Tribolium castaneum: one gene and its partners. The protein of the gene in region 2 interacts with the protein of the main gene of each other region in a pairwise test. Links are inferred from orthologs where the notes say so. Each region holds a gene or a part of one and is shown on either strand. Other genes may lie near its edges. The genes, in order: mop, drk and WW domain-binding protein 11.

Region 1 (3,335 bases), on a different chromosome or scaffold from region 2:
TGGAGTTTAACTTAACAGAAATAATAAGGTAGATGATAGTTTAGTTTCATCTGAAAGAACTGTCATGGGAAAGTAAAAAATTAATTAAACCTAACTGAGAGGTAAAGATAGTGTAAACTCTTTATCGAAAACAATAATATAACAAAAATTGTATTAGGAATAATTATTACTAATTTGCGCACCGTCGCATATTTATCAAAACGCTGGGTATACAGTTAAAGATACAAAAAAAAGTGTATGAATCAAAGTAGTAAAGAATTAAATTGCCTACAATTTCCGAGACACCATATTTCTATCTTCAACGCTTTCGGTTATTAATTAATTATTCCGAAACCTCACCAGCGGTAAAATGAAACGAATCCGTCGCTTGGACGTCTTTGGAGCTTAAACAGTGTTGACGATAGATATGGTCTCGCGGAGTTTTTTAAAAGAAATATAATTCTCTATAACTTTCTTCCTAACATTTGTCCCGTATCTTTAGCAGTATTCGCAGCGTTTTAAAAAATATGGGACGAAGCCCTACATTTAATTATTTTTTTAGTAGTAAATTTTTCTTTATTTTTTTCCCAGTAATAATTAGTGAATTGGTTGAATTTAAATTAATTTAAAACGATTTGGCCACAAGACGGTATAACGCTTAAAGCCCTCATTTTTATTCCGCTGTATTATATTTTTTGGGTAGCGAAAATCGTGCAATTTTGTATCTCGTTTCGTCTCCTAATCTATCGCAAATAAAAAACTCATCTTTTATTAATTTCCACTCACCTTTACATACGAAGCATTAATATAATCGTCTTTCGCCGCCTTCAACTCAACTCTCGAGTAATCGTAGGGCAAAATATCCGGAAATCGATTTTTCATGGGATAACACCTCGCTACCGAAATCGCTTTTTTCTCCACGTCTTGCTTGTCCTGTATTTCCTTCCATTTCAAGTCCAAATTCGTCGGTCCGCTCAAGGTTTTGTTCGTCAAAACATCGACGAATTTCTCAAACTTATCAATTTCCGAGCCGAATAGTTTTTTCACTTCGGAATTATTGAGAGGCTTGCGATTAACAACTCGTTCGATTTTCGGCGGTTCTTCCTCGTTTTTCACAACTTTTGTTGGTTGTTTTACCGGAGTTTCCGTTTTTTGGGGCGGTTTTATTTCAGGATCCGATGGTTTTTGTTGGGGAATAAGTGGTGCTTGATTTACCGTAAAATCCAAGCCGGTGAGTAAGTCGATGTTTGATTCCTTCGTTGTTGCGGTTATGGAAGTGTCGGAGGTTTGTGGTGACGGTGTTGCGTAATTGTAGCCACTTCCATAGGTGGGATAAGTCTGATTTTGGCCATAATTGTAGTAGTATTGGTACTGATCGTAACTTGTGTAACCTTGGCCGTTACTTATTACGTAATTTTTCGAATTCGAATCGGAACTTTTTAAATCGACCCCAGGTGAGGAATAAGTCGAATTGTAACTCACATTTGAAATATTAGGGTGGACCGAAGTTGCATATTCGTTACTACCGAAAGTGTTAGGGTAGGAGTAGGTCTGTTCGGTTGGTTGCACTTGAGCGGGGCCATAACCGGCGGGATAATAAACGTTAGGTTGGCTAACCTGGTTATATTGGTTGGTGTATACGTCAGGTTGGACAACCTGACTTGTTTGATTGTACGGTTGGCTCACTTGAGCCACTGACATTTGGCCGTAGGGTTGGCCAGTCTGGCTATACGTTGTGTACGCATCATGTTGGCTAGTCGTAGGTTGGTTATAAAGTTGGCTAGCCTGATTTGGTAAACTCGGTGTTTGATTGTAAAGTTGGCCAGCTTGATTAGGTAAACTCGGCGTTTGATTGTAAAGTTGGCTAGCTTGATTATAACTCGAGTAACTGTCAGGTTGGGCGTAGTTTTGGTAAGGTTGGCTAACCTGCGGGTAACTCTCGCCAGGTTGGCCAACCTGTCCATAATTGCCTAAACTCGTCGTCGAAGGCGTACTATACGACATTTGGTACCCCTGATATTGTCCACCAATATTATCAGCGGTCACTTGATTATTCTGGGTACTGCTCGAAATCGGTTGGTACGTATCAGTGGTAGTAGTATAGGCTTGTTTGTTCACTTGGGTATTTTGTCCATAATAGCCCATCCTCAAACTGGCCATTCTGTCGGCCAAATTTTGATCTAAACCGGCATAAACCTGCTCTTGCGGTTTGGTTACAACCGGTTCGTTGATTTCGGAGCCTAAAGGCGCCGGTCTAACCGCCGGGGGCCACGTCTGGGCATCAGGTACGCCTTGAGGGTAATACTGGGGACTGACGTCGTTAAAACCTCGCGTTTTTTTCCTAGTATCGATAAAATCTTTCAATTTTGGCGCCGAATTTATAACCGGTTCTTCTTTGGTCGCTGGTACCGGGACCGAGTTTTTCAACAGCATTTGCTCGCGTTCTTCCTGTTGTACTTTACATGCGCTTTTAATACGTTGCAATAATTTCGAAACGTTGGTTTCTAATTTGTTGTAAAAATCGATGCCTTTGTTGGCCTTTGCTACGAGATCTTCGTACGTATCGTAGGAGGTGATGAGTGCGCTGACTGTTGATGTTCTTTTGTTGATCACGTCCTGCAAGTAGCGACGAGTCGACATCGACCGAGCGTACGCATCCACGAAGGCTTTGAGAATGTTTTCCTGAGCTGCCACGTTCTGTTCTATCAGATTCGTCTGAAAAAAATACATGGAAAATGATTTTAAAAAACTCTAATTCAAAAGTGCACAAAAAAAGAAAAAAATAATGGTTTTTTATGAAAGGAGAGTATGTTTGCTTACGGGTTAGGATTCCAAAATTTAATAAAGTAATTCTGTTATGCCGTATTGTAATGATTTAGAGTACTTATGACCATTTCCAAAGTTTTTAGAAAGTTTTGAATCCCAACCTGTAAGCAAAAACATTCTCCTTTGAAAGAAAAACATTTTTTTTCTTTCTTAGTGCATTTTTTTGCATATTTTTTTTAAACATTTTTTAATTTTTTTTCTTCAAGTCTTTATTTATTCTAATCGTCTTTTTATTTTGCTGATTTGTGCACTTGTTTAGCGGTATGTAGTAGAAAACAGCTGTTGGCATTTGACAGCACATCCTAACCTTTGATTTATGCCTGTCATCCAAGATAAATGAATTAAAAAAAAATAGCGACATTCCTTTTGTAACAAAACGTAATAAAAGTGATTAGGTATTAATATATTCCTATAAGGGAATGAGCAGTTTGCTTTTTACACGCATACCGTGACGTCATAATGTTCAACATACGTGTACACTGACTGTGTATGTAGGTATAAGATGCGGTATGTAAATCAAACATCCCTTT
Region 2 (4,100 bases):
GTCTACGTTAGTGGTGCCCACATGGGTGCCGGCGGCCAACATTTTGGTCACATCGTCCTCTTTGAGGCTGAGAACTTCCAGACCTCCCGACATCCTTACGTTAGAATTGAGTTACGAGTAACCTGGAAGATGCGTGAAAGAGTTAGGTTATGGCGGTGTTTCGGTGATTTTTGACCGAATTTGGGAAAATAAGCACAGGATTGTGTGGCAATGGGGCTTATTGAACGTTTAAAGGGGTTTTAAGGGCGGGATCGTTGATGATGGGTCAGATTTTTCGAAATTAGAGGGACTTACGTTGAAAGATGCCACTGGGATTCGATTCCTTCGTGGAAAAGGAACTTTAGTGCCGTGATGTTGGCTATCGCCACTTTTTCACCAAGTGAAATTGTGGTGCGAAATTTGAATTTCCTTTTTTGTTTTCGAGAAAAGCAGTAATTTTCAGACTTCCAAAATGTTAAATCAATGTTCAACGAGTGAAATTCATCTGAGTAAAATTATATCATAATACTTTTTCTAATTTTATGGAATTTCTAAGGAAAGTTGGGCAGGTCAGAAAATTGGAGTATTTATTTGGAGTTAGAGGAAAGCAATAAAACGGCTGTTATTTATATAACATATATTTACTTATACTCGCCTATTATAATAATGCAATATTGTAATAATAAAACTATGTTAGTATTTACATACAAAGTCTAAAAGTCAAAGCAAGAGAATGCCAAACGAATGAGTGTTGAATAAAATTCTGGCATAATCTCTAACGCATTATATACAAATAAAAATCTTTTGAAATAAACTCACGAATCTCCATAACTTAAAGAAATACAAAAAATGGCATCTGATTTGCTAAAAATACGATATTGTGTGCACTATCTTATAGGAAATTGGATTTAAATATTAAATCTTCGACGGAAACTAGCTCCACTTGCTCCTAACTGGTTAATTTCGTTGCATATCTGAACAGAGTAAAATGTAAGCAACCTGTCATACACTCTACCTAAAAAATTAAACATTATATTATATTCCATAACCTACTGAACTGAAGAAGATTAATAAATTTCACGTTTTTCAGTACAATTGATCCAATATAAAAATATTTGATCTTAAAACTACATTAAGAGATTTTCCAAAAACAATGAGCAATTAATAAAATCATCTAAACGATTATTACAAAATCACATAAATTAAAAACCAAGTAAAAAATCGCCCACAGTTGCGCAGGTTTTTCCAAGAGTGGTGGTGAAATAATGCCTTTGAGAAAATAATAATTAAGGGAAAAATATTATGTGTGGTAAGGCGTCACGTAAGTAGCGGGGAATAGGCCGCGACGGTGTCCGATCTCGCCATGCCACCAGTGCTGATCTGAGCGGTCCGTCACCGTTATTACGTCGCCCCTTCGGAACTCTAGCTCGCCGGCTTCTTGTGGAGTAAAGTCGTATAAGGCCTGCACCAAGCACTGCAACAGGAACGTCACAATTTGCCCATTTCTACATCCATTTATTCTCCAAAACAATTGTCAAGGTCAAAACTCCCACAAAAAATCATCGCAAATTTTAAATAATTTTTTCCTCATGTTTTTCATAAAAACTTTAGTCGACAGTTTTCCTCAGTCTGATGAGAATGCAAACTCAACATTACTGCATTTTTTCCGAGTTATTAGTGAATTGGTTGAATTTAAATTAATTTAAAACGATTTGGTGCTTGAAGCGCCCTCATTTAAGTCTACCGTACAATTTTTTTGGGTTCAGGAAATCCTGCGATTTAGTATCCTAACTTATAGTCCTCCGTAGACCAGACTATATATCAAATAACTACAGGGTGATAATGCTTATACCAACATGACTACACTGACAATTGTTCTGAAAATAAAGACAATACGATTCCGCACCTCTTCGGCCACCATGTCCTTCAGCTTGACGTCTTGTGACCGGGACACGGACGACGTGCGATGGTATTCTACTAATTCATTTAACGAATTGAATTTGACTACCCAGAGAAAAAATTTGCCTTGGGCGTCCCTTAGCACCTTGAAATGTTGCACGCCGTCAGAACACCTGCGATAATGGGGGTTATTTATAATTTTGGGGGCTAAAAAGTGTGTTTACTTGACAGATAGAGAAAAATCTCCTGGACTGGATTCACTAATACGTATGAGAAAGGCCCCTTCGTGCTTGTTTGAGAGCAGTTTTTCGGCGTCAGCTCTTGTGATTCTACCGTAGTACCAACTGTTCAAGAGAATTGTGTTATTATCATGTGACCCCTCAAGGTGTATTTACCTGTGGTTCTTCATTTCTATGTAATTACTAGGAATTAGGCCTTCTCTGCCGTCCAGTTCAGCTCTGTACCAGTTCATGTCGTCTTCCATATTCAGTATCTGGAAAAATGGTTTTAGGGCAAGCCACAATTTCGGGGAAGTACCTTTAGGACTTGAGATCTACGAAAACTAAGCTCATCGTCGGCCGTTGCGTTGAATTCGTGCTTCGCTATTGCTTCCATTGTTCAAGTTCGTCTTATCACAAATAAAAGCACAAGAGCTGACTCCAAAAAAGTTCAAATAGCACCGGCAATGTCAATACATTGGCTTCCTCCAACTAGCACTAAGCATCCGCTTTGTAATCTAACGAATAACACATTTCTTTGGAAGATAATCACTTTATTTGGTGTTTTTGTTGGGTTTTTACGCGAACCTTACGAGAACCCTCCCTTCTGTCACTGATGAAATTCAACACTGGAGGACAATCATGGCGGAGGAACACTATCTTATCACAGCCAATCGCTCTTATCGCGCAAACACAACAAACTCGCCGGCTTTGGACAAGTAATCAGGCGCAAAAGACGATAATCCGGAAAGAATTCGATACTGGGTACGGAAATAACAAAAAAAAGGTGAAATAATCCGGAACTACTTTTCGCCAGGGGCGCAGTAATCGTCTGTCACTTGAATCAAATTCTACCAACACCACTCACACGTCACCAACAATGTAGTCCCAAAAGCACTGCCGTGACAATTGTTATCTATAACTGTTCGTTATTTACTTAACTAATGAAGTTACGGAAGTTCCACCAAACAAATAAATGGTGAGTTTGCCATTAACTGGCCCCAAGTGGTGTCAATGTGTCAAAGTGACAACAAGTTGGTTGCAGGTTAATAGTGCGGTGTTGTCAAGTCGTCACAACAATTTTTTGAATTTTAATTGCCCTTTTTTTCATTAATTTTGCAATTTCCATTCCGCTTTATCACGCAGAAAGTAGGAATGAAGGCTTATTGTGTCTTTATCGGTCACGCTACGTGCACATTGCCCCCGCGGGAGTTTCGAACTTTGCCCTATGGGAATCTTATAAGACCGTGATTTCAGGCTTTTTGGTGAAGATGCCGCAGATTCCGCCCCCGAAGGAGCACAAGTACGTGGACTCGCTATGGTGCATGTACATGGTATCGGTGGTCGGAGCGTGGAATGCGGAGTTAGGTAAAAATAGAAATTAAGTAACTTTTGCCACCTTGTATTCCCTCAAAAAATCGCGCTTTATTTATAGAATAACTTGGCGTTTGTCGAGTCTTTCGTTTAAGTTAGTTTTGATTTATTCATCACCTGACCTTGACTCTCGTTGCAGTGACTTACCCGTTAGATTTGGCCAAAACGCGGCTGCAAATACAGGGTGAGGTCGCCAACACCAAAGATGCGAGCATGGTCAAGGCCCCGTACCGGGGGCTGTTCCGCACCGCCGTGGGGATCGTCTCCGAGGAGGGGTTTCTGAAGCTGTGGCAGGGGGCGTACGCCGCCTTGTACCGCCACTTGTTCTACTCAGGTACTCGAATTGTCACGTACAAGCACCTCAAAGACAAGTTTTTCGACTCGGGCACCGAGCAGTACTTCCCCGTGTGGAAGTCGGCCCTTTGTGGGGTCACAGCGGGGGCCTTTGCACAGTACATTGCCAGTCCGGCCGATTTACTCAAAGTGCAATTACAAATGGAAGGCAAGCGCAAAATCATGGGGCTGCCGCCGCGAGTTAACGGCCTTTTCGACGCGTTTAGGAAAACGGTCGAGACTGCGGGGGTGAGGGGGCTGTGGAAGGGGTCAGTTCCGAATGTGCAAAGGGCCGCT
Region 3 (4,084 bases), on a different chromosome or scaffold from region 2:
ATCACAATAGTTACAAATATATTTCACTGCCACTTATTTTCTACACTGGCTCAAATGTATCAATTTGTGTTTCTTTCGTTTATATTTATTTTATATTCCGAACGGGAGCGAGGATCAGGCGCTTCATTTTCTTATATCACGGGAAACGAACGGTTTTATTTTTAGTGGTTACAATCCCAAATATTATGTTATTTTGCACAGTGTTCGAGTTGTTTGTTTGACTCTTGCTCCTTAATTTTTTAATTATAAGTAAATATTTACAATGATAGGTACCATTGTTTGTATTATCCATTTGCCAAATATAAGATATACACCGCGCGAATTGAGCTTTTATTTCAAGTGACGTCAATGCGGTTTATTAGGCAATTAAACAATTGCGATAAAAATCATGACGCAAGCAAGTGTGAGGAAAACAACGATCACGCACGATTTTTCCAAAATCAAGGCTGCGGTGTACAACTGTCAATTTGACAATTCAGATTGCACGTCACAGCTTACTACCTACATTTTTTTTACCAGTCTAAGTAAAAATTTTCATTACAGGAAACTGTAATTTTTTTAATAAAAGAAACTACAATAGCGTCTGCATTTCTTCCATAAACTGCTTATAGGCGTCATCTTTCGTATGTTGCTCTGGGTGCGTATTTTGATGCAAATGGTACTCTTTCTGCTTCAACTCGTGCAACGTCCTCGTATTTGGCTTGTGTTTTTTATCCTCCCTTTTAACCCTCAACGCCGAGGGCACAAACCTCGTCACATCAGCACTCAAGTTGCGAATTTGGGGCTTCGCCGAAATCGTCGCCCCCTGTTTGGTCGACTCGACCCGATTTATGAGTTGGGGGGCTGCCGACAACACATTCGGGGTCCCTAAGGGCAAATTGGGGCCCCCTGGGAGCGTAGGCGGGGGCCCATGCAAGCGAATCATCCTAGGTGGCGCTGGTGGGATACGCAGCGGCATCCTAGGCGGCGGTGGTAATCCCGGTGGTGGCGCTGGGGGGAGAAGGGGACGGCCGGGGGGCGGGCCTGGAGGCAATCGAAGTCCAGGATTGGGGAATAGGAGTGGAGTGGGGGGCTGTGGGAGGTCCGTTCCGGGAGGGATGAGTGGTTCAGGGTGGGTTTTAGCCCGGGTTTCGTCTTCTTTTGTTTCGAGTTTTTTCTGGACGACTTCCATTTCTTTCATGAAGTCGTCGACGTTTTGGCCAGATAAAGCCACCATTTTCTGTTGGAGGGAGGTGGGCTTGGAGGAGGGGTCTGTGTCGGAGTCTTCAGTTGTTTCGTCCTTTTCGTCGTCGGTTCGAGTGAAGTCTTCCACTTCGCCGTCGTCGTTGATGTCTGGTGGCGGGCCGGGGGGGCACCCGGGGGGCTCACGCACAGGCTGGCCCTAATTTTACAAAAAAAATAGCAATTTTACTTTAACGACTTCTCGAATTTTTTCAATTTTTTTGCTACCTTAGTAGGTTGTAAAAATAATTTTGAATGTTTTTGCAAATGCTTTATTTTGGAGTTAAGAAAACTTTAGTGCGTAAAAATCGAGTGTCGAATAAGAGTCAGAGTGCTCAGAAAATTTTATAAGCATAAAAAGTGAAGATACATGAGGAAAAGCGAATTAGGAAGCTCAGATACATTTGAAAGAAGTAAAATAAGTAAAAGATCGCCAGATCGACAAAATATAGTGCCCACGATGGAATAGATAAAAAGAATGTTTGCATAAATGCTCGAAGGAATAAAAACAGTAAAAGAAAAATAAAGTAAAAAAATAGTAGTTATAAAATAGAAGTGTAAAACTTTCATTTAATACAAAGTTGTTTTTATTAAGTTGCCAATGCTTTAAAAAATACATACCAGTGCTTGCAACTTTAGCGCGGTGGCTATGGAATAAATCGTGTGCTCTTGTTTTCTTTCCGAAGGTAGCGGGATTTGCGCTGGGGCATTACTTGGTTGTTGGGGTAGTTGTGGCAGAGGAATTTCATCAACTTGGACTTGCTGTGCACTCTTAACAGACTCATAAAATGCGACTAATTGGTTCCTTTTATGTTCATAATCGGCTTGTCTTCGTTTCAAATCGGCCCACTTATCAGGATCGTCTTTATACTGAAAAAAACAACGATTCGACACCATCCAATTAAAATCCCTGTCTTCAGCACTTACATACATACTAAGAACTCGATCTAACGTATCCCTTAACTTTTTTCTCTTGTCTTTTAAAACTTTCTCATTTAAGGGCGACGGTTGATAAACATTATACTCTAAAAACACAAAAACAGTCAATCTTCCGTGTTATTCAAGCCATTACAAGAACTGTACCCATCTGATCAATTTTTTCCATTTCTTCTAAAATCTGTTGCGGGTCTTTGCCTTTCAAAACAGCGGCCCGTACCATCTGTCTCTGCTTTTTATTCTTTTTTAATTCCTGTTTCCGGGCTTCTTTTCCTGAAAATTGGCAAAATTTTGAGTGACCTAACCTCAAACCCAAACATCGTCTTACTGGCTTGGTCGGTGGGATTCATGTATTTACCACTCTTAGTGGTATTAATCGACCGGCGCCCCATTTTAACTTAATATCACTTTATTTTCACGTAAAACTCGTAAAATGCACTCAAAACATCATTGCAAACATTACATGGCGCGCGGTCGAATTGACTTGCAGCCGAATATTCTGTGGTCGAAATACAAAGTCAATCACTGAATTCTGTATTATCTTATTCTATAGAAATATGTTTAAACAGCCTACCAAAACATTATATTTTTCCATTTAAAAATGAAGCACCATTATTTAATTTATCTACAACAGTCAAAATATTTAAATTAATATTTAATTTTTCGGTATTCGGTCACAGATTAGAGTGATTCGGTACCAAAGTTAATCGGCTACAAACATCAAGACATAACCTTACATAATCTAAAAATGTTAATAAACAAAAACACACAAATTATCGGCTGCCGGACAATTTTAGTGCCTTACAAAGCCGAACATGTCTCAAAGTAGGTGAAAATAGCGTTGTTTCGTCATTTTAATAACAATTTTCAGGTATCACAGTTGGATGCAATCTGAAGAACTCCAAAAGCTGACGGCTTCGGAGCCCCTTACTTTAGAGGAGGAATACGACATGCAAAAGTCCTGGATGATGGACGAAGACAGTAAATTGGCACACTTTACTTTGCAATTTTCTAGTTCATTTTTTCAGAATGTACATTCATAATTCTTGATAAAGAGAAATACAACAGTTGTGGAAACGAAATTGGTAAATTAGTTAGTCTAGACAAAAAGCACGACGAAATAAATGCACTGTTTTAAGAGTCAATGATTGGCGACACAAATCTGTTTTTTGCAAACGCTGACGACAGGATTTGTGCAGAGGCTGAAATTATGATTGCAGAACAATGGGCTAGAGGTAGGAAATGCGGTTCTGAAGCCATGCTACTCATGTTTCTCTACGGAATTGAAACACTCGGTGTAAAAGAATTTGTTGTAAAAATTTCAGACGATAATGATGTTAGCATCCACATGTTCAAAAGTTGCGGGTTTATTGAAACTGGTCGTAGCGAGATTTTTAAAGAAATTACTTTCAGTAAAATAGTTGATGAGACGTGGATAGCGTGGCTTAAAAGTACAGTTGGCGATTATGAGGTGGTTGAAAATAAAACATAATTTTTTTGTTCATGCTTTAAATTTAGTGCCTTTTTGTTTCCTCACTTTTAATTCGGTCCTAAAGCTTATTCAAACTTTGCTCAGTATTTCCTAGGTTTTGTTGCCTAAAATCCTTAGACATTACTTGGAAATTTATATTTTTGAAAGCTCAAATAAAAATTTAAAATAAATAAGTGATTTAACCATTTACAATTTACAAAATACCAAATAAAATAATTGAAACATAAGTGACTTAATTTACATAAAAGGACACTAAAAACATATTCATTCACTAGAGAAAAATATAATTCGCGTGAAAGTAAAATAATAGAGGATGTTTCGTTTAAACCTCATATTAGAAGAAGACATCAATTTTGTTCTTTCAAACAGAAAAAAATACAGGCTGTTTCACATAATTTTAAGAGGCCTGCGCCTGTTAAATGCCCCCAACGATAC

What was found.
Region 1: the proteins of drk (region 2) and mop interact in binary tests that used the Homo sapiens proteins (3 or more experiments, as listed by UniProt). The link is inferred for Tribolium castaneum from reciprocal best matches to the Homo sapiens genes GRB2 and PTPN23.
Region 3: the proteins of drk (region 2) and WW domain-binding protein 11 interact in binary tests that used the Homo sapiens proteins (3 or more experiments, as listed by UniProt). The link is inferred for Tribolium castaneum from reciprocal best matches to the Homo sapiens genes GRB2 and WBP11.

The regions. Positions count from the first base shown.
Region 1 is NC_087398.1:12,632,730-12,636,064, reverse strand, and holds part of mop (tyrosine-protein phosphatase non-receptor type 23), read right to left. Parts: intron 2,695-3,335; coding exon 766-2,694; intron 1-765. UniProt on the Homo sapiens protein: Plays a role in sorting of endocytic ubiquitinated cargos into multivesicular bodies (MVBs) via its interaction with the ESCRT-I complex (endosomal sorting complex required for transport I), and possibly also other ESCRT complexes.
Region 2 is NC_087399.1:3,452,182-3,456,281, forward strand, and holds drk (growth factor receptor-bound protein 2), read right to left. Parts: upstream 2,557-4,100; 5' UTR 2,494-2,556; coding exon 2,416-2,493; intron 2,372-2,415; coding exon 2,274-2,371; intron 2,223-2,273; coding exon 2,103-2,222; intron 2,052-2,102; coding exon 1,886-2,051; intron 1,454-1,885; coding exon 1,280-1,453; 3' UTR 602-1,279; downstream 1-601. Other genes in the region: sta (small ribosomal subunit protein uS2), read right to left, coding at 1-93; Ucp4A (mitochondrial uncoupling protein 4), read left to right, coding at 3,111-3,141, 3,354-3,464, 3,610-4,100. UniProt on the Homo sapiens protein: Non-enzymatic adapter protein that plays a pivotal role in precisely regulated signaling cascades from cell surface receptors to cellular responses, including signaling transduction and gene expression.
Region 3 is NC_087394.1:25,616,653-25,620,736, forward strand, and holds WW domain-binding protein 11, read right to left. Parts: upstream 2,657-4,084; 5' UTR 2,550-2,656; coding exon 2,486-2,549; intron 2,431-2,485; coding exon 2,305-2,430; intron 2,247-2,304; coding exon 2,149-2,246; intron 2,092-2,148; coding exon 1,843-2,091; intron 1,382-1,842; coding exon 572-1,381; 3' UTR 532-571; downstream 1-531. Other genes in the region: Mnat9 (N-acetyltransferase 9-like protein), read left to right, coding at 2,906-2,982, 3,029-3,138, 3,186-3,242, 3,297-3,649. UniProt on the Homo sapiens protein: Activates pre-mRNA splicing. May inhibit PP1 phosphatase activity.